3 linked regions of the Stegostoma tigrinum genome follow. The protein of the gene in region 1 purifies or fractionates together with the protein of each later gene. This does not show direct contact. Links are inferred from orthologs where the notes say so. Each region holds a gene or a part of one and is shown in the gene's direction. Other genes may lie near its edges.

What was found.
Region 2: the proteins of rpp30 (region 1) and pop4 purify together in Homo sapiens (affinity purification with mass spectrometry; 4 studies listed by BioGRID and IntAct, counting the BioPlex papers as one, with this or other methods). This does not show direct contact. The link is inferred for Stegostoma tigrinum from reciprocal best matches to the Homo sapiens genes RPP30 and POP4.
Region 3: the proteins of rpp30 (region 1) and rpp25l purify together in Homo sapiens (co-immunoprecipitation; 3 studies listed by BioGRID and IntAct, counting the BioPlex papers as one, with this or other methods). This does not show direct contact. The link is inferred for Stegostoma tigrinum from reciprocal best matches to the Homo sapiens genes RPP30 and RPP25L.

Annotation. Positions count from the first base shown.
Region 1 is NC_081373.1:44,334,668-44,341,665, reverse strand, and holds the start of rpp30 (ribonuclease P protein subunit p30), read left to right. Parts: upstream 1-3,897; 5' UTR 3,898-3,955; exon of another isoform or gene 3,956-4,130; 5' UTR 4,131-4,302; coding exon 4,303-4,384; intron 4,385-6,998. Other genes in the region: kif20bb (kinesin-like protein KIF20B), read right to left, coding at 177-332. UniProt on the Homo sapiens protein: Component of ribonuclease P, a ribonucleoprotein complex that generates mature tRNA molecules by cleaving their 5'-ends. Also a component of the MRP ribonuclease complex, which cleaves pre-rRNA sequences.
Region 2 is NC_081369.1:32,454,612-32,462,623, forward strand, and holds the start of pop4 (ribonuclease P protein subunit p29), read left to right. Parts: upstream 1-4,974; 5' UTR 4,975-5,033; coding exon 5,034-5,040; intron 5,041-8,012. UniProt on the Homo sapiens protein: Component of ribonuclease P, a ribonucleoprotein complex that generates mature tRNA molecules by cleaving their 5'-ends.
Region 3 is NC_081354.1:146,847,223-146,854,687, reverse strand, and holds the start of rpp25l (ribonuclease P protein subunit p25-like protein), read left to right. Parts: upstream 1-4,427; 5' UTR 4,428-4,582; intron 4,583-7,187; 5' UTR 7,188-7,230; coding exon 7,231-7,465. Other genes in the region: dctn3 (dynactin subunit 3), read right to left, coding at 4,316-4,399. UniProt on the Homo sapiens protein: May be a component of ribonuclease P or MRP.

The DNA of each region.
Region 1 (6,998 bases):
CTGGCCCAGAGGCAAGGACGTTGGCACTGTGCCATGAAACCAACCCTTTATAATTCCACCTACTGTGGTGGAATTTGAACCTATGTCCCAAAGCATGAGACTGGATCTCTGGATTACCAGCAAAATTACATTAGCGCCACACCATTGTCTAACCCCAAACTCCATTACATACATACCACATGTGATGCATTTTTATTTTCTTCTTGGCAAAGTTCAATAATCAAATCCTTTCTAATGTCTTCAAAATCCTCCACAGCAGGTATATCCTGCTCGTCATTCACTGCTCCTTGTGGTTGTATAAATGACAACTTAGATGTTATTATAGGCTCCATTCTGGCAAGAAAAGAAAAAAAAGTTGGGAAAATACAAAAAACAAACATTGTATTTTAACCCCAGGAACCTTTCAACTTCAGGTTCTGAAAAACGTGCAAAAAAAGGCTAGATGCAACTCAAAAGATTAGTTTTTTCAAATGTCACTCAGCATGACAAGAGCAGGCTACCTGGTCATTATCACATTAAGTTTAAGGTTAGCTGTTTTATTTCCAAAATGACTTTAATGGTTTTGCTGCAAAGAACTCTATTGGCCAAAAAATGCATTTCCTTTCTAAATTTAATTTTCCTAATCATCTGTTCAGAGATGTTATTACATGCCTTTGGAGGAAGTGCGACTCTGGTTTTTGGGTCTAGCAGTAGGAACACTGCCAATGCATCAGAAAAAAGGCCCTCCATTTATTTATTTGATATATTGTGATTTTGAAGGTTCCACCCTCGCAGCCTCCTTCATGCTAAAAGTGCAACTACCACAGATTAAACCCACCAGGGTGGGGGAGGACGAGGACGAGGACAGAGCGAGAGAGTGCGACTTACATAATAAATGCACTATGCTGCCAAAAAAAAAAACAACTGCAGATACTGGAAATCAAACAAAAACAGAAACTGCTGGAAAAACTCAAAAACGTTGATGGAGAGAAATTAGAACTAATGTTTCAGGTCCAGCGATATTTCCTCAGAACTAGAAAATACTGTTCAATTCTGAAGGAGGGTCACTGGACCCAAAACATTAAACACAGATTTCTCTCTACAGCTGAGAGTTAGTAGTAACACCGATGCTGGAGAATCTGTGATAACAAGGCGTAGAGTTAGATGAACACAACAGGCCGAGGAGCATCAGAGGAGCAGGAAGGGTCCAGACCCAAAACTTCAGCTTTCCTGCTCCTCTGACGCTGCCTGGCCAGCTGTGTTCATCCAGCTCTACACCTTGTTATCTTTCTCTCCACAGCTGTTGCTATTCCTGCTAAGTTTTTCCAGCAATTTCTGTTTTTAATCACTAGATTGCAAACAAGGTTTCAAAAGATTCCATTTACAGCTGGAGTAGCATGACTTCAAGTCCCACACACTCCAGAGGAGTGTAATAACATCTGAACAGGTTGATTAGAAAACATCTCATGTGTACTCAAGTACAGGATAAGAGTACAGTGAAAAGTGCATAATGTCATCACAAATGGCATCATCTTTAGGTGTAAGTACCTCGGTAAAAAAATCTTAGTTACTGGCAGAAAAATAAAGAAATAAAAGTTAATAAGTTCAGCATTACATAGTTTTAGCATAACAGTAGAAAAATAAAGAGGTAACTTTACAGTCATTTCTTGATGGTCCAAGCTGGGCTTCCCCAAGAGGGCTTGCTCTTCACCCCCATCACCATGCCGAACAAACTTTCACCCATGCTAAGACCCGTCTGAGCATTCCTGGCTGTGCCACCACTCAAGGCTTTGGCCCCAATCATCACAGACTGCCAGTCGTCAAAGGCCAACCACCACCGTTATCCTTTGCCACTGGCCAGTCATTGCTCTCAGCCAGACTTGCACTGGGCTCCACCCACTGCCATGCTCCATCACTGCTGCTGCCACCTCAACTTTTACAAAATGTTCGAGGTCCACACTGGCCTCACTTGAGGTCCACAAGTTCTGCTGTCGATGCCACCCAAGCTCAAGGTGGTAAGTAAGGAAAAAAGAAGTTAAAAAAAAAACAAACAATTGGAGCAAATAAGCTCCAGCTAAGGAGCCAACTCTGCTGCTGTCTTTCAAGGGTGGACTATTAATTATCACTACCGTCTCGACGGACACATATCAATGCAAGGTCCTGTCCAAACAACTCAACATTCTGATTTGGAATGGGATTGCCATTCCTCCAGTGCCACTGTATCAAAATCATTCAACTCCAATCACTTCACCCAAATAACATTATGGATGCAGCTACAGAAAGGAGGACAAAGCCAGTACAGCTGACAGTGCATTAATAAATTATTTAAATCCAAACTAGCACAAGTGTTCCAAATTCTCCAAGCACTCAAGAATCCTAATCAATAGGGTTGGGAAACAGGCATTGGGAGCTTGCTGATGTAAAGCTTTTATCTTCCAAATGTCAAGTCTTCTCTCAGGACTTATTTTCTGCAGATTAATTTCCCACACATTACACACTGCTGCAGCAAATTAAATTCGAATGTCTTAAGCCTGCTGTTCTTAGCTTTTGGTTGGACACATCCTAGAGCAAGTAGTCTTCCATCCATTTGATTAGAGAGTTACTCTTTAGTCTGACAGAACACAGCAGCTAGGAAAACAAAAATCAAAAAGAGGAATTGGGCCAATAACACAACTTTACTCAACACCTGCACTAACCTCAAGAGAGGTCTGTGATGGATCCATTGCCAAAAATCACCAGTCGTATTGTCATGAGGCAAGCAATTTTTTTGGAAGACAACTATACTTCAGCAGAATCTTCTGGAATACCTGACAATTTACAAAGTTGAAGACCATTGTCAAGTTGAAAAAATATTGAGTGGTTGGCATCAGCCATTTTCTCATAGGCTGTGATTATCCTCTCAGCTATATCTCTTGATGGCCAAATTTCTCACAGATTCATGGAAGAAGCGTTTAATAAATGTAATCAGTCCGTTCAGTTTCTCCTAATGATCACTCCTTCAATGGACAGCTGGGAGATTACTCTAATTTTCACAGTTGGATTTGTCCGATTACTTGTCACAATCGTAGGGTCACTGACATTACTCAAGACTTCCTCTTCACTTCAGATCTCCAAAACATTTCACCGACAGGATGCTGGAAACGTAGAACTTGCCACCACAAAAAGTCCATGCAACGAGCAGTGATGCCCTTTAGAGGAAAGCTTGATAAAACACCAAAGGGAGAAAGGACCAGACCAATGTACGGAATGGAGAGAATAGTCTCCGGAACACTCGCACGAGTTGTGGGAAGTCACCCCCTTCAAATGTATATCAAAAGGTTTTCAACGATGTTGGTCGAGAATGTAACATTAGACAAGTGCACGGACATCTTCCGGATCTTGTCCGATTCACAAAATCCTTTAGGTCCACCCTAATCAACAACTTTGCCAGTTTACTAGAAGAGTTCAGAGTAGAACGCTATTATGTCTTAAATTCGTCAGTGTCCATGGACAGAGCAGAGTGCACTCTGTTCACCGGGACGGGAGAACACCAACAGCGGACTTACCTGGTCTATGAAGACCGGAACCCTCTGATGCAGACTGGCACTTGTTCAGGAGCGAGCACAGACCAGGTACGAAGTGACCGGCCTAATTTTCGTATATCGACCACTAGCACTCAGTTATGTTCTCTCTTCGACAGACAAAAGCATCAGGGCTGGGACTATGATCCCTTTCACATGCACATATGTAGATCACCAGAACTTAGTTGTGATCGCTGTCATACAGACAAACACTGACCGCCAGAACTCAGTTATAAATCACAGATTGAACCTAGTGGCTCCAATAGCCGCTTGCCTGCCGCGCGCTCCCAACTAACGTTCCTGCCGCGCGCTCTGGTTTTTAAATCCCACCAATAGCGAGCTGCCAGCTTCCCGGAGCATCACGGGTAGTGGGTAGTGCAGCTGCGCAGCGGTCGTGTGGTTCTTGGAAGATCGTGGTAAGGTGATAAGATGAGGAGAAAATGCTTTGTGTCCTTATTTGTAAGGATGCTAATCGGATGGGATGCGGATATGAGCCTGGGAATCATAGTATGACGATCCAGTTCAGCATGACTTTGCTTTGACGCAAGGTCGCCGTCCAGAACCTTGAACTCTGTTTCTGTCTCTTCACAGATGTTGCACAGCATAACCGAGCTTTGCCAGCATTTTCTGTTCTTTTTCGAGTTTGTCTTTGATTTAAAGTGGGATCGACAGTAGACGGTGCCTTTAGGCGAAGTGCTGCGGGCGAAAACATTGACCTTTCCAGCCCAGGAAGAGCAAACGTTTCCCCTCACGTTGTGAAAGCATGGCGCCTTTTGTAGATTTAAACATCGTCAACACTACGGACAGAAAGAGATTGCAAAGTCTAATAGAAACAGCGGCACACCGTGAGTGTTGTTTCTTCTTAAATCACGTTGCAATGTCTTAAAGCACGTTACAGTTTCACTCTTTGAATGTCTGAGAGTGGATTTAATTAATGTTTTTTAAATGTTCTCTTGTCATGTGAAATAATTATTTTATTCTTTTCGGGCGACTGACAAACCGCATTGAATGAACTGCGTAGGATTTAGTTTTAATGGTGATTCCCAACCTGGAAATTATTGTCATTATCAAATTTCGTACACAGCGCTGTTCTTCAGACACAGCAAAATCAGAGTCAATGCGAATCAGAACGAAAACTCTACTATTTCAAGACATGTCTAACACAAACGATTCAGTGATAATGGGAACTGCAGATGCTGGAGAATCCAAGATAATAAAATGTGAGGCTGGATGAACACAGCAGGCCCAGCAGCATCTCAGGAGCACAAAAGCTGACGTTTCGGGCCTAGACCCTTCATCAGGTCTAGGCCCGAAACGTCAGCTTTTGTGCTCCTGAGATGCTGCTGGGCCTGTTGTGGTCATCCAGCCTCACATTTTATTAACAGAAATGATTGAAGTGTTTCTAGGCCAGCCATCTCAGTCCTGGGAGATTGCTGTGGGATTTCCTCGGGGTAGAAATTGGAAAATCACCTGTTCAGACATATTCCGAAGCAGGTGGGGCTTCCACTTAGGCATCCTTGCCCCACAGTAGGAGCGCTTCCACTGTGCCACCAGATCCCTAACTGTTCCTAAGAGTATTAATAAACCGAATTTTCTAATCAACCTTTTCAAAGGAGTTATTGCACACCTCTAAAACCGGTGGAACTTGAACCCAGGCCTCCTGGTCCAAGGTAGAGATACTACCACTGCACCAGAAGACCCCTGACTGCTATGTGCAGAGACCTAAACCCAATTATTTTCAGATGCTTCACCAATATGAGTTCAGAATAGGGATGTTTCTTGATTGGAGATTCATTACCATCTTTGACTTCTCATATACTGAATCAGTTCTTTTTTTTTAATTAGTCCCAAAACATTTCTTTACTTGGTCCAGAGTAGAGCATTCAACCTTTATTGATGTCCCCACATTCTTTTGGTGTTTTTTACCATTGATGTGATCCAGTAAGTTGATTGAATCCTTTAGTCACAAACATTCCAGTAATATGCTCCCATATCAGACTGTAGTCTTTGCGATGACTATGGATTTTCTTAAGTTTATAATCATTGTGGCATGAAAGCTCATGCCTGATTGGTACTGGAGGCTTTGCACTTTGCATCTCTCTTTCTTCTTGCAACTGCTTATGCACCAATTTCTCATATTCCTTATTGGTCCCACTTCTTGCATTTTTTTGTCCTGCTCCCTGATGCCATCTGCAGCTAAGTGTGGATAACATTTGGGCCTGGCTGATGAGTGGCAAGCAACATAAGTGCCAGGTATCAACTTTTTCAAACAGAAGAATCCAATTGTGTCTCCATGACATTCAATGATGATACCATTGTTAGAACTCCCAGCATCAACATCCATTGACCAGAAATTCAGCTGGATCAGACATATAACTAATATGGATGGCTGAAAGAGAAAGTTGGAAAATAGGGATTCCTGCAGTGAGTAACCTACTTCCTGACTTCCCAAAGCCTAGTGGCAATCTGCAAGACACTGCTGAGGACTCTGCTGAAATGCTGTCTGCTGGCCTGGATAAACCCAGTTCCAACTACATTCAAGAAGCATGCCTACTATGCAGGAAAAAAAACAGCCTATTTACTTATCAGCCAATTTGAATAGTCAACCCCATCCACTAGGGTGCAGTGGTAGCGATGCATACCATATAAAGGACGACAGCGAAGGCAGTAGAATTATCAGAATGCAACCTGCAAGTTTTCATGCGAGTTATACACCATCCTGACTTGGAACTACATCACTGCTGCTTCACTGTTACAGGGCTAAAATCCCTAACAACACTGGGTGCACCCTCACCAGAAGGACTGCAATGATTGAAAATACCACCGACTCCACTGCAAATGCTGGGACTACTGCCATCCCACATGTCCTGTGAAAGAATGCAACAAAAAAGTCTTTTGATGTCCAGTTCTCCCTAGATCAATTTTAATCATTTGTTGGGCTAAAAAGTTCAACACAGCTGCTCAGAAGTGTCATGATCCACCTCTGGAAAAGGTGGGACTTGAATTCTGACCTTCTGATTAGAGGTAGAGACACTGACTGCGCCACAAGACCCCCTTTACACAAGGCTGTAAATTGTGGTTAATCCTACCATGTCCTATCCATGCCCTTCCTGTTGTGCTTTGTTGTCAATTTGATAAAAGCACTCAATTTCCAATAATTGGAGGGAGAAGTCATTTTGACTTTGCCTCCAGAAGAAGCCTCACCAACCTCTTGCACCACCTCAACGTAACGTATGCGGAAGTCGAAGCCATGAATACAAGTGTGATAAAGGCCTTCTTAATCACCCAGGCAATCTTCAAAAAAAATTATGTACCTAAACTCCTAAGTCTCTGTTCTACAACACTGCCCAAGGCCGCACTTTTAATTGAACAAATCCTGCCCTTGTTTGTCTTAACAAAATGCAATAGCTCACGTTTATCCCAATTAAACCCCGTCTGCCACTCTGCAAGCCATTGACC
Region 2 (8,012 bases), on another chromosome or scaffold:
CACGTTTTGTGACCTTTACCTTTCAGTGTTTATTATGTATCTGAAGTTTGTCCATGAAGCATCAAGAAAATGATAGAAGGCAAAGGATAGATCAGAGTATGAATTTAAATACAGTAGGTATCCAAAGAGACTTGGGAAATAAAGTGCATAGATATTTAAAATGCCAGATTGTTTTTTGCAATCAAGTCTAATGGAATCTGGCATTTATACCTACAGGACTGGAGTATAAGAATGCAGAAGTTAAGCTCCAGTTGTACAAAACCCTGCTTGGACCCCATAAAAACTGAAAGAACTGCAGATGCTATAAATCAGGAGCAAAAACAGAAGTTGCTGGAAAAGCTCAGCAGGTTTGGCAGCATGTTTATTTTTGGAAGGAGACAGAAGCAAGCTGTGCAGAGCTGGGCAACTATCTGCTTGGAAGTAGTGGGGGGAGCTCACCGGATGAAATGAGATCAGTTACCATAGTAGATACAATGGCCTGATGCGTCACAGTGGGGTCATGGTCCAGGGGAAGATAGGAGGAGGTCTCTGAGAGCTGGCGCTCAACCTCCTCCCAAAAATCCACAAACAGGACTGTCTGTGCAGACCCATTGTGTCAGCCTGCTCCTGGCCCACAGAATTCATCTCTACCTACCTTTACTCAATCTTCTCTCCCCGGTCCAATCCCTGCCCATGTACATCCGTGATTTCTCTGACACTTGATGCCAGTTTCAAAATATTCAGTTTGCAGTCTCCAGCCACCTCCCATTTATCATGACGTGCAATCACTTTACACATCCATTCTCCACCAGGAGGGTCTTAGGGCTCTCCACTTCTTCCTGGAGCAAAGGCCTGAACTGTCCCCACCCCCCACCACCACCATCCTCCACATGGCCCAGCTCATCCTCACCCTCAACTTCTCTTTTAACTCCTCCCATCTTCTTCGGGTAAAATGGATTACCAAGGGTACCCGCATGTGCCCCAATTATGCCTGTCTCTTTGTGGGGTACGTAGAACATTGTTCCAATGCTATTCTGAGCCCCACCCACAACTCTTTCTCCAATATATCAATGATATCATCAGTGGTGCTTCTCTCTCTCACATCCAGAATTGGCAAAGTTCACCAATTTCACTTCCAATTTCCACCCTGCCCTCCCTTTCACCTGGTCTAACTCTGACTCCTCCCTACCCTTCCTCAATATCTGTTTCCATTTCTGGGGGTAGACTGGCCACTAATATCCACTGTAAACCCACTGACTCCCACAGCTACCTGGACGATACATCCTCACACCCACTTCCTGTAAAGACTCCATTCCATTCTCTTAGTCCTTCCGTGTCCAAAGTATATGTTCAGATGAGGTCAACTTCAACAAGGGAGCCTTCATAATGTCCACCTTCTTCCTCAACTGAGGACTTCCCAGCACTATTGTTAACAGGACCCTCAACTGGGTCCAACCCATCTCCCGTACCTCCGCCCTCCCGTACCTCTGCCCTCCCGTACCTCCGCCCTTATCCCTTCTCTTCCCTCCCTCAACAGCAATAATGTTCCCCTTGTCCTTACCTACCATTTCACCAGCATCCACATCCAGAAGATCCTCAGACACCATTTCTGCTACCTCCAGCAAGATGCCACCACCGCACACATATTTTCTTCCCCTCTCTTGTCCGCCTTCTGTAGGGGCCATTCCCTTCGGGAAACCCTGGTCCACTCTTCCTTCGCCCCACAGCACCTTTCCCTGCAACCAGTGTAGGTGCAACATCTGCCCATTTACACTTGACTTGCACTTCCCAGACTAGTCTACTGCATTCTCTGCTCACATTGTGATCTCCTCTACATTGGGGAAATGAAGCATAGACTGTGTGACCACTTCACAGAACATCTACGTTCCGCTCACAGAAAAGACCCTGAGCTACCTGTTGCCTGCCACTTTAACACACCACCCTGTTCCCTGACCAACCTCTGCCTCCAAATAGTTGCAGTGTTCCAGCGAAGCTCAATGCAAGTTGGAAGAACAACATCTCATTTTCTACATGGGGACCTTGCAGCCCTTTGGACTCCATACTGAGTTCAATAATTTTAGGGCCTAAACTTTCCCATGTCCTAGCCACCTACCCCACATACCAGGCCTTGTTATCACATAGTTTGCCATTCAATACTACCTATTGTTAGTCACTAACAGTCCCTATTAATAACTATTCACCCTCTTGGTCAGATCTTTTTCAACTCCTTTGTTTATCCAACTGCACTTGTCTCTTTTTGGGCTTTATCCTATCATTTACTCCCTACCCCACCCCTTCCCTATTTTCTGCATATAACCGATGTTCCCAGCTACCATCAGTTCTGAGGAAGCGTCACTGGACCCGAAACACTAACTCTGATCTTTTCTTCACAGATACTGCCAGACCTGCTGAGCTTTTCCAGCAATTTTGGTTTTTGTTCCTGGTGAGGCCCCATTTGGAGTCAAAAGGAGCACAATGTAGGTTTACATCTATGGAACCTAGACTTCAGGGGTTAAGTTTTGAGGAAAGATTATACATATTTGACCCATGTTATCAGGAATTTAGAAGATTCAAGGGTTATCTGACCAAAGCTTTCAAGATATTAACAAGAAAAGAAGGGCAGATAAAGATAAATTACTTCCTCTGGTTGGGGATTGTAGAACTCGGGGCATAGCCTTAAGATTAGGACCAGTGTGTTCAGAAGCGTATTTAGGAAGCATTCCTACACACAAAGGATGGTGGCTTCAAACTCTCTTCCACAAATGGTGGTTGATGCTAGATCAGTTGTTAGTTTTAAACCTGAGATAGAAAAAAAGTTGTTCAGCAAACATATTAAGGAATATGGGCCAAAGGCAGATATGTGGAGTTAGACCATAGATTTGCCATGGGCTCATTGAATGATGGACAAGAATCGAAAGGCTAAATGGCCAACTCCTGTTCCTATAGGCTCAGTAATTAACTAATGACAAGGAATTGGAAATCACCTGCTATGTTGATATTCAGAACAGAAACAAGAGGAACATAAAAAATAAAATAGAAACTCATGTAACTTTCACCATGGGACTAATACTTGACACCATTATAAAGAATTTTATGTATATTTATTCAGAGTGCAGATAAAATGAGCAGGCCTAAGGTTGTATGTAAGAGTATACATGTCTTGTATTCTTTGAACAGGTATTTAAACAAGTAGATAACAGTTGTCTCAGGCATATGACTATCAAAAAGCTTTTTTTCCAAGTAAGTTAAAGATGTTAGCATTTATGTGAAATTGGTTAGGCTGGTTGAAAATGGCCTTTCAATAGGAAGCAGAAAATAAAATGTGTGAAAACAATCAAAATCAGTATTAAGCATTTATTGTAGTTGTGCCATAAAAGAGATAAAGGAGTGATTGTGCAAGTTAACTGGTATATAAGAACTATGAATTTTCTATAAGTTGCTGATTAAGCTACAGAGTCAGAGGTACAGCATGGAAGCCGGCCCTTTGAACCAACTTGTCCATGCCGATCAGATACCCAAAATAAATCCAGTTCCACTTGGCCCATATTCTTAACCCTTCCTATTCATATACCCATCCAGATGCCTTTTAAATGTTCTAATTGTACCAGCCTCCCGCACTTCCTCAGGCAGCTCATTCCACACACACACCACCCTCTCTGTGAAAAAGTTCCCCTTGGGTCCCTTTTAAATGTTTCCCCTCTTACCTTAAATCTGTGCCTTCTAGTTTTGGGCTCCCCTACTCAAGGAAAAGACCTTATCTATTTACCTTTCCATGTCCCTCATGCTTTTATAAACCTCTATAAGATCAACCCTCAGCCTCCAATGCTTCAGGGAAAATATACTCAGTCTACTCAGCCTCTCCCTATAGCTCAAACCCTCCAATTCTGGCGACCTCCTCATAAATATTTTCTGAAACCCTTTCAAGTTTCACAACATCTTTCCTACAGCAGGAAGACTAGAATTGCACACAGTATTCCAAAAGTGGCCTAACTAATGTCCTGTACAGCTGCAACATGACCTCCCAATTCCTATATTCAATGCAATGACCAATAAAGGGAAGCGTACCAAATGCCTCCTTCCCTAGCCTAGCTACCTATAGCTCCACAATGAACCTGCGCTCCAAGGCCTCTTTGATCGGCAACACACCCCAGCACCATAACATTCAGTGTATAAGCCCTGCACTGATTTGCCTTTCCAAAATGCAGCACCTCACATTTACCTAAATTAACTTCCATCCGCCACTCCTCAGCCCATAGGTCCATCTGATCAAAATCCTGTCGTACTCTGAGGTAACCTTCACTGTCGACTCCACCTCCGATTTTGGTGTCCTCTGCAAACTTACTAACCATACCTGCTACGTTCACATCCAAATCATTTATATAAATGACAAAAAGCAGTGGACCCAGCAATAGTCCTTGTGGCACACCACTGGCCACAGGCCTCCGGTTTGAAAAGCAACCCTGCACCACCACTTTCTACCTTCCAGCCACTTCTGTGTCCAAATGACTAGTTCTCCCTCTATTCCATGTGATCTAACCTTGCTGATCAGCCTGCCATGAAACACCTTTTTTTGAAAGCCTTAGTGAAGTCCAGATAGATCACATCCACACTCTGCCCTCATCAATCCTCTATATTACTACTTTAGTCCTGTGCCCAGTTCTGATCACCAAATTCCAGAGGAATGTTCCAGCAAAGATTCTAAGCTATTTAAAATCCATTCACTTGCTTCGAGTTAAAATCAGCTCACAGTCTCTGATTGCAAGTCAAGAGCAATGACATTGATCCCTGATGTTCTACAATGACTTACATTATGGGTTTAGACCAAGATGACAATTTGCAAACTTCAATGAGACAACTTAAACTCTCAACAGAAGCTAAGATCAAAAAGTGACTTTGTGATTAAACTATTAATAGGTCAAAAGGATAGGTTCAAAGTAAGAAAAGGCAGGTTTAAAGCGTTTTAACTTTCCATCAATCATAAAGGGGGTGGGGTTGCTTAGCGCCTGAAGTGACGACATTTCAATGAGTCGGCGCTGACGTAATCACGCCGCGCTATGGACAGTAAGTAGCTCACACTCTGCCGCGTTTATTAAGAAGTTGGAGCTTTTGGGGTCAGGGCGCAGGAGGATGTTCTGGGCTTGTAGTACACCAGTACCACCCCTTCGAGCCGGTCAGCTGTAGGAGTTGCCGCCGCCGACCTTTTGGTTATCGGAAAGACGGAAGAGTTACTAAGCTCCACAAAGAGGCTCCTCTCCAGTGTCCCATCTATGCCAGTGTTACCATGGAAATGGTGAACAGGTTCGTCGCAGCTTCAGTAAACAGGTCCAAGATTTCTGAAGAGGGTCTAGGCCCGAAATGTCAGCCTTCCTGCTCCTCTGGTGCTGCTTGGCCTACTGTTTCATCTAGCTCTTGTTATCCAAGATTCATATAGCAAAGCCTTTCTCTTCGTTATTGATGGACTCCTCAGGCACAGCTTCATTTCTCAGAGACACTACTTAGCAGCTGGCTTTTTCTGGCTCCATGTTCCTCCAGATTCTGTTGGGGTTGTTTTGATAACCTCCTGCTGCCTATCTCAATTAAAGTTGCATGAGATAAATATTTCCTCCTGAATAATTAGTATTCAAAGACATGTTCAGTTCCAACTATTGTAATTCCTGTCAATGGCTTTGGAATTGTCCAGGGTATGATCTGACACTGAGTTGAAAAGTGGTGAATTTTACAATCCTGATTTTGTTCTCCTTTCTGATCTGTTGTTTTCTATAGAACATAGAACAGTACAGCACAGAACAGGCCCTTCAGCCCACAATGTTGTGCTGACCATTGATCCTCATGTATGCACCCTCAAATTTCTGTGACCATATGCTTGTCCAGCAGTCTCTCAAATGGCCCCAATGACCTTGCTTCCACAACTGCTGCTGGCCACGCATTCCATGCTCTCACAACTTTCTGTGTAAAGAACCCGCCTCTGACATCCCCTCTATACTTTCCACCAGCCAGCTTAAAACTATGACCCCCCTTGTGCTAGCCATTTCTGCCCTGGGAAATAGTCTCTGGCTATCAACTCTATCTATGCCTCTCATTATCTTGTATACCTCAATTAGGTCCCCTCTCCTCCTCCTTTTCTCCAATGAAAAGAGACCGAGCTCAGTCAACCTCTCTTCATAAGATAAGCCCTCCAGTCCAGGCAGCATCCTGGTAAACCTCCTCTGAACCCTCTCCAAAGCATCCACATCTTTCCTATAATCTCCTATTATCTCCATAATATCTGTTTGTCTCAATCTTTATAGTTTCCCCTGCTGAAACCCTGAAATTCATTTTACTTTGAAGGCAATTTTAAAGCTGACATTTTCCACGGCTTCATTTAGCAAAGCAATGATTTCTCTTTACAAGGTCTGTATTTTGTTTAGCGTTGGTTTGGCATGCTTGCCTTTATTGGTCAGTCCATTGAGTATAGGAGTTGGGATGTCATGTGATTGTACAGGACATTGGTGAAGCCATGTTTGGAACACTACGTTCAGTTTTGGTCTGCCTACTCTATGAAAAATATTGCTTAAACATGAAAGGAGTAGGGAAAGATTGATAAGGATGTTTCCAGAATTGGGAGAGGCTGAATAGGCTGGAGGCTCAGAAGTTAAGTGGTGACCTTATAGAGGTTTATAAAATCATGAAGGGCATGGGTAGGATGAATACCCAATGTCTTTCCCCCAGGATAGGGGAGTGCAAAACTAGAGGGCATAGATTTAAGGTGAGAGAGGAAACATTTAAAAAAGACTTGAGAGGCACTGTTCTCATTGCAGAGAATGGCACATGTCAGGAATGAGCGAAACAGGTACAATTACAACATAAGCCATCTGGATGGCTACATGAATAAGAAGGTTTAGACAGATATGAGCCAAATGTTGGCAAATGGAACTAGATCGGTTTAGGATATCTGGTCAGCAAGGATGAGTTGGACTTAATAGTCTGTTTCCATGCTGTAACTCTGACTCTGAGTCATGCTTATAAATAGAATGACGTTTAGAACAAAGACTCCACATAACAGCCAGGGCCACAATTCACCCGGTAATTTACTTTCAAGCATTTATGTATGTATCTTTTGAAGTATTCTCACTCCATAAATGAGCCTTCTCCATTTTGGAGCTTTGAATTTGTGACTGAATCATTCTTGCGCTAATAAATTCTTGCAATATTTTTCTGTGCTGTTATGCAAAGAAATCACTGATCTACACTTATCAGTTCTGTACAGGAAAGTTGTAAAGTGAAGGTTCTCATTTAACAACAATTATATACTTTCACAACAATTGGAAATACTACGATTCAATAATTCAGTAAACAATGGCTAATTAAGGTTACACAGCGGGGAGAAGTAATGACGCATTTACCTTTATTCTCATTGGATTGTGCAGGTAGACAAGTTCACTATTATTTTGTATATTTGGGACAAGCTGATACATTTGTTCTAAGTTATCTTTTAAAAGCAAACGTTAATGAAGTTTCAGCACTTTCGGCAAGTTGCTTCATAGTTCATTTAGAAAACAGTCAACTAGCACTGTATAGCCTGAACTTCATACATCAGTTGGTGAGAACTTTAATCTTGGAATGAAATTAAAGTGAATAATCAACTTAAAAACTGTCTTTTTAATCAAAATGAAGGGAAAATGTTTAGCAAATTAATCGAATAGACATGCTTCTCATTTCCGGTACCTAAGATATCAAGTAAACAGTTCTGTAAAGATGGCCAGAAAGCTCTTGTTGAGAAGAATAAAAGTTTGAAGTTTTCTTCTGGAGCAATGTGATGATGATTCCTAGAACCTCATTTGTAAAGGGATTATTGGGCTTGAGGTATTTTCTGTAGGCTGCATATTCATGTGATTTAATGTGGAAAAAGCCACTTTTTTTCATGGTACATCTTTAATTTTGCATAAACTGTTCATTTTGTTTGTTTCTCTCCCCTTTCTAAACAGATTTTGTGATTTTGATTGAGATTTGTAAATATCAATACTTAACCCCACGAATGTGTCAAATGTACTTTT
Region 3 (7,465 bases), on another chromosome or scaffold:
CAAAGTGAATAGAGTTTAAAGTAGGAAAATTATGCTTAAACTATACAAAGTACTAGTTAGATGAAATCTGGGATACTGTGAACAGTTTTGGGGCCCTAATCAAAAGGAAGATATCCTGACATTGGAGTTAGTCCACAGCATGTTGTTGCGCAGAGGTACCTGGGAACCCTTGTGCATGAATCACACAAGGTTAGCTTGTAGGTGCAACAGGTAATTAAGAAGACAAATGGAATTTTGTCCTTTGATGCTAGAGGGATTGAGTTTAAAAACAGGGAGATTATGTCACAGCTGGATGGGGTGCTGGTAGGGCCATAACTGGAGTACTGCATGCAGTTTTGGTCTCCTTACTTGAGAAAGGATGTAGTGGTATTGGAGGAGGTACAGAGGAGATTCACTAGGTTGATTCTGGATTTCAGAGCTTTGGTTTATGAGCACAGCTCAAGTGGACTGGGATTGTATTCATCGGAATTTAGAAGAATGAAGAGGGATCTTACAGAAATACATAATTTTATGAGATGAATAGCTAAGACAGAGCAGGGAGAATGTTTCCATTGGCAGGTGAAACTAGAACAAAAGGGCATAGCCTCAAAATTAGGGGGAGCAGACTTTGAATTGAATTGAGGAGGAACTTCTTTACTCAAAGGATTGTGAATCTGTGGAATTCCTAGCCCAGTGATGTAGTTGAGGCTTCCTCATTGAATCTTTTTCAAGCTAAGATGATAATTTTTTGAACAGTAAGGGCAATGGTCAGAGGGGATGAACTGCTCCTCCTTCTGGTCCTTATGTGAAATTCAAATTGTCACATAGTAAAGGCACCAATTAACCCGAGTAGGTGATTCACAGATGGCATTTTTTTTTTCTTAAGTGCTTTTACTTTTCTCATCTGGAGTGAACTACTTGAGGACGAATATTGTAGTCCATGATAGTAGTCCATTCCCAAGCGCTGAAAATATCAACATAAATACATCTTGTAAACTTGCAATACCTAATGTTGGCCACTAGAGCCTGCAAATAATCCAAAACAAGAGAAGCAAAGTCTTTTCAGAATTATCAAATGTAAGACAAGTCAGTAAACAAGCAGGCAACTGGAATTTGGCTTTCAAAAATCAGTCTGTATAAATGTTACTCAGTAATTTTTATGTATCCATTGACTGTTTAAAACAAATAAACCTTTCACTTCAGTCTGTTTTTAAAACTGACAATATTTTAAATTTATTGAAAATTTTTGAATGAACCAAAAGTTCTGTCCCCTCTAAGTGCAACTGGGCATTCTGAAGGTTGCGTTTCCACCAGGTGTTGAGTCATACTGGAGAGAGAACCAATGATGTATTTCCTCAAACTCAGCAGATCCCAAGGTCCAAATTAAGATGATGGTGACATAGTGGTCACAATAGACAATAGATAATAGGTGCTGGAGTAGGCCATTCGGCCCTTCGAGCCAGCATCACTATTCATTATGATCATGGCTGATCATCCACAATCAGTATCCTGTTCCTGCCTTATCCCCATAACCCTTGATTCCACTATCTTTAAGAGCTCTGTCTATCTCTTTCTTGAAAGCATCCAGAGAGTTGGCCTCCACTGCCTTCTGGGGCAGAGCATTCCATATATCCACCACTCTCTGGGTGAACAAGTTTTTCATCAATAGACAATAGTGGACTGATAATCCACAACTTCAGAAAGGACTTGAGAAAGGATGTAGTGGTATTGGAGGAGGTTCAGAGGAGATTCACTAGGTTGATTCTGGATTTCAGAGCTTTGGTTTATGAGCACAGCCCAAGTGGACTGGGATTGTATTCATCGGAATTTAGAAGAATGAAGAGTGTTCTCAACACAAATCTAGTGTTCTGAGTACGAGTTTGAATCCCACAATGGCAGATGGTAGATTTTGAGTTTAATTTTTAAAACCAAATTAAAAGTCTCAAGATGACCATAAAATAATTTGTCTTAAAAACACATCTCATTGTCTTTTAGGATGTAAACTGCTGTCCTTTCCTGGCCTATGTGACTCCAGGCTCACAGCAATGCAGTTGACTTGTAATTGCTATGCCTATCCAGGCAATTAGGGAAGGACAATATGTGTCGACATCCCTTGAGCATATGAATAAAAATAAAGCAATAACGTCTGATTAGGTTACTGAACCACACAGCTACTGGCATAAGGTACAGCAAATTCAAAAATCAATGTCACGACTCAAAGAGTGGTGTTAGGAAGGGTGTTGATTCTTGACAGCAATATAGAGGGAGCTGTAGATGGGCTTCACGTGAATTAGGATGGGATCTCTGACCTGATAAACTAAGAGGAGGGCAGGAGAAGTAACATTAAACTGCTCATTATCTGAATGCATTAAATAAGGAACAAACCAGAGAGATAAATGACAATTGAAATTGCAGGGATATATCTACAAAGTGATCAAGGATGGGAAATAAATTTTAATATACTGAAAGAACGAGAGAAGAATAGTATTGAGAAAGGATCATGGCCCAGAAGATCAGGAAGCCAAAACACTATGAGTTGAAGATCAGGAATAATCAGGGAAACATTGGTGGGAGAATTTACAGGATCCTGATGACAGCTATACTATGTCACAGTAGGCTGCAAGGATCAGTTTAGGACCACAGGTATTTACGATGTATTTTAATGACTTAGATAAAGCAACTAAGAGAAACAAATCTAAACTAGTAGATGACACAAAGATGGTTGGGAATGTCAGCTGTAAAGTGAGGAGGACACAATGAGGCTGCAAGAAATTATGGACAGTTTAAGTGAGTGGGCAACAATGGGGCAAGTGGAGTGACATGCTGGGAAATGCAAGGTTAGTATTCAGTTTGGCATTAAGAACAAAAAAAATTTAAAAGGTGTGAAACTTATAAATGTAGATGTTCAGAAAGACTTGCTAAATGCACAAATATTCATGTGGAGTAAACAAATAAGAAGACAAGAATAGCCTGTACTTTAATACGATCAGAGTGCAGAAATACGGTCTGTTCAAAGTTTTTGAGAAGATTTGTAGCTCAGGTTGCTGGCTTGCTTGCTGAGCTGGTATGTTTGTTCACAAACATTTAATCACCATTCTAGGTAACATCTAGTGTCACCTCTGGATTGGTTTCTTATTGTTTGGTATATGGGGTCCAGCTCTACATGTTCGTTAATGGAGTTCCGGTTTGCAGGCCCGGCTTCCAGGAATTCTCGTGCGTGTCTTTGCTTGGTACTATCATTCATTTCAATACACAGACAAAGAGGGACACCAATTCAACAGGGACAACGTAGCCATCATAGGACTAGCCAAACAAAGATACACATAAGAACTCCTGGAAGTGTGGCACTCAAACCAGAACTTTGTTAACAAACATGTGGAGCTGGACCCCATACACCACCCACTAATAAACAAATCTAGAAGTGATGCCACCTACTCCAGCTAACCGAGACACATAAGTATCAAGCAGGACAGAACACCAACGCTTCACTGGTGAAACATTCATGATGTTACCTAGTATGGTGAGAAAATGCTTGCAAACAAACTTGCCAGCGCAGTAAGCAACGAACAACAGGATCTGTTCACTGACAACAAAGATTCCCCAACATGCATGTGGCACTGTGATATTACTGCCAAGTACAAAAAAAGTTCTACTTTTGGAGTATGTGACTTGATATGTTCTCATTAAAACTCTCATTATTTTGTATTTTTAACTATTCTTTTATCTATGACAGATATTATTGCTAATGCACATGATCCTTGGCAGCAGAAAACATAGCTGCAGAAATAAAGAAGCCTTGCTTAAACAGTGGGACGACATCTTTAAGACTGTGTGTATAGCTTTAGACTGAACAGTTAAGGACAGAATTTCATTGGAAACAGCATACTTGGTTCAACAGATCCATTCCTGTGATAAAAAGCTAAGTACACTGGATCACTCTTCTTTGTAAAAACAGACAAATGAGAGATGATTCGATGTAACATACAAGATTCTGAAGAGACCTGAAAGGGTGGATCGGGAACGTAATTCAAACCCTACCACTCTGGTCTCCATTCCCATCACCAAGTCCCAGCCCCTCTCTCTCCGGTCCGATATCCCTTCTCCATCATCTCTTCCCCCAATTCCATCCACTCCCTCCACCCTTCACCCACCTGCCCAGTCGTATTTTTCCGCTCGCTGTCACCAACACCACTCCCTCCCCAAAGAACACCTATCCGACCTGTCTCTATCTGCCCTGCCCATTCCACTCCGCTCCAGCCGGGCAGCACCTGTCCCGGCCTCTCTCCCACTGGCAGTACCTGATTTGTTTTATTACTATCACATGTAGGTACAGTACCTGTCCGGCCTGCCGCCCTCTCTCTCCGTACAGCCGAGTCTCGAGTTTCTCCAAACGGTCCTGCAGCCTCTTCAGCTCCGCCATTGTCAGCGCCACTTCCGCCCAACGGCGGAAATTACGTCAGAGGGCCCGGGCCCAGGACCAGGTGCGAGGCCTGGGCTTGGGATCCCGGTGCGGATAGGACTCGGGTTGGGAAGTTGCGGGGTAACTACCAGGAGCTGCTGAATAGACGGTGCCGTGGTAACGAAACTGAAAAAAACTCGGCAGGTCAGCCTTTTCGGAAAGAGAAACAGAATTACTGTTTGTTGAGAAGCGGGATGGGTTAGAAATATCAGAGCTTTGGGAGCAGCGACAGAAAAAGAGAGTAGCAAATAACGTCAAATAGCGAAGTCTGAATGATTAAGGGGAAGAAATGATGTGGTAGTGGCGGTGCCGGTGTTGGATAAGGTCAGAAGTCACACGACACCAGACAATAGTACTCCTGAGATGCTGCTTGGCCTGCTGTGTTCATCCAGCCTCACATTTTATTATCTTGGATTCTCCAGCATCTGCAGTTCCCATTATCACCAGACTATAGTCCAATAGGTTTATTTGAGAACACAAGCTTTTGAAGCCTTGCTCCTCCTTCAGGTATTAAGGTAGAGAGGAGCAGCCTTCCAACTGTATCAATTTCAGATCATAACCTTTGATCCCATTTCAAGAGCAGAGGAACAGGGCTAGGCTATTCGGCCCAGAGATCCTGCCCTCCCATGCCAGATGGGCAGACTTTTAAAGCCCCTCATTCTCAAATTTTCCTCCTTTAGATTCCCCACCTAAGGGAAATGTTTCACTTTCATTTATCTTAACTATTGCTTTAAATATTTTGTAGGTTTCAATGAAATTTGTATTCATTCTTCAATACTGTAGAAAGTACAGGTCCACTTTGCTCAATCTCTGTTCATAGGCCAGTTCTGCCATCCTGAGAAAATTCTGGTGACTTTTCATTACAGTCTCTCTGTAGCAATAATATCTTTTCTGTGATAGAGGCCAAAACTGCACCCACTACTCCAGGTGTGATCTGGACAGTTGAAGTGAGACTTTGTGACTTATGCACACAGATTTACATCTGATCCATACAACTCTATTTTGCCTTGCACCTTCATTGATCCTCTAATCTCTCTTTCATCCATAGTCTCACATGTGCACATTTTTTCTCGCAACCTTTGACTTCTCTAAACTTGCTTGAAAATTGTGACATCTCTAACTTTTGACAGTTTTGATAAGAGGCCATTTATCTGAAAGCATTGTCTCTGGAGAAACAGGGTTACTGTCTGACCTGCTGAATATACCTAATGTTTTAAATTCTTATTTTAAATTGCAGGTAGCCATTGTATGTGCCTTTTATTTAAGTGCCAATCTTGACTAAAGCTCAGAGTCTGAATGATGGTGAATAGCAGTCCTGCAGGACTGAATTCAACAAAATATCTAGGGTGATACTCTTGAAAAGTACTGAGGGAGTCACAGAACATAGAACATAGAAAAGTACAGCACAGTTCAGGCCCTTGAGCCCACGATGTTGTGCCGTGGAATAATCCTAATCCAAAAATAAAATAACCTAACCTAAATTCCCCTCAATTCACTGCTGTCCATGTGCATGTCCAGCAGTCGCTTAAATGTCACTAATGAGTCCGCTTCCACGACTACCACTGGTAAACTATTCCATGCGCTCACAACTCTAGTCAGTAATGTTATCTTTCAAATAAGGATGTTAAATTAAGGCTCTGACTGCTCTGATCACGGTAAAAGACCACATGCCACTGTAGCAGAGAAGGTTAGTTATTCCTAGCTAGAATGAAAATAATTGAATAATTTCTTTGTTAGCCGTGCTTGGAGAATGAAATTGCGAGCGCATGGGATTTAATCATTTACTCGTGTTTGGATATAATTATTCTCCATTCACTCTGTTTTGTTGATTAAATTACTTGCATAAAGTGCAGTTTCTTGATGGTATTTGGTTTTTGCAGAAAATGTTTCCATCTTGACTCCTGTGGATTATTTGCTATTATATGCTATCAAGTTGCACTTCCAGCTGATTACTTGACAGTGCATTGGCTATTAGTTATCTGAATATGGATCATAAACATCATGTGAAATTAGATATTTTGAGAAAAGCTCTGTACTTTTCTGGAGTTTAGAGACATCTGAGAATGGTGTGACATCGTGCCTCTAAAGCAGTAGATTAGGGAACAATTCATGCTTAGCTTCTATCAAATAGAATCTAAAATTCAGAGATTCTGGGGCATATACGAAAATGACTGGCTCCAAAGATGTTAGAAAATAGAAATGTTTCAAATGAAATTCACATGTTTAAAATGAAGATTGGGTGAGAAGGATGTGATGTGAGCAATTAAAAATATGCACAAAGCACTTGCTGCTAATGTAGTACCACAAATGGAATTTCACTCTGAAATGTTTTTTAATGTAAAGAATACATGCACCACTCAATTGCGATTGAACAATAGCTTGTGAAGAATCAATTCAATCTGCTGTCGTGTTCTGCTGGTTTACCTCAGTTGCTGCCATAGCAAGGTACTTTTGTTGTCTTCAATCTTCAAAGTAGCAGAAATCACACTTGGTATTCTCCTAAATTCAGCACTCATGGGCATATTTGGATGTCAAATGCTTCCATTGTCAAGTAACTTATTATCATGTGTAATGTCATCTAAAAGAACAATTCGGGTTGTTATACTTGGATGAGTCAGCATTTTCAGGAAGGTAAACGTATAGTGCATTTTTAAGTTTGCAATAAATTAGAATGGCAGACAAAGTAGACATTCTAGATTCTTAGTTTTCCAGCTGTAAGTAATTGATATTTATATATTTATATTTACAGGTTCTGATTTCCATCACTTCAGAATTATAAGACATTTCTCAAAATGGAAAATTACCAAAAAACAAAGATCACAGAACTCCCTTGTCCACAGCCAATTGCCAATCTTCCAAAAGATATTATTGAAATGAAGGTGAAGGAAGGTAGCAAAATCCGAAATCTCATGGGATACGCCATTGGAAAGATGGAATCAGCCAATATCAGAGAGATCCTTTTTACCGGCACTGGGAAAGCTGTCAGCAAAGCAATCACGTGTGTGGAGATCATGAAGAGAAGATTAA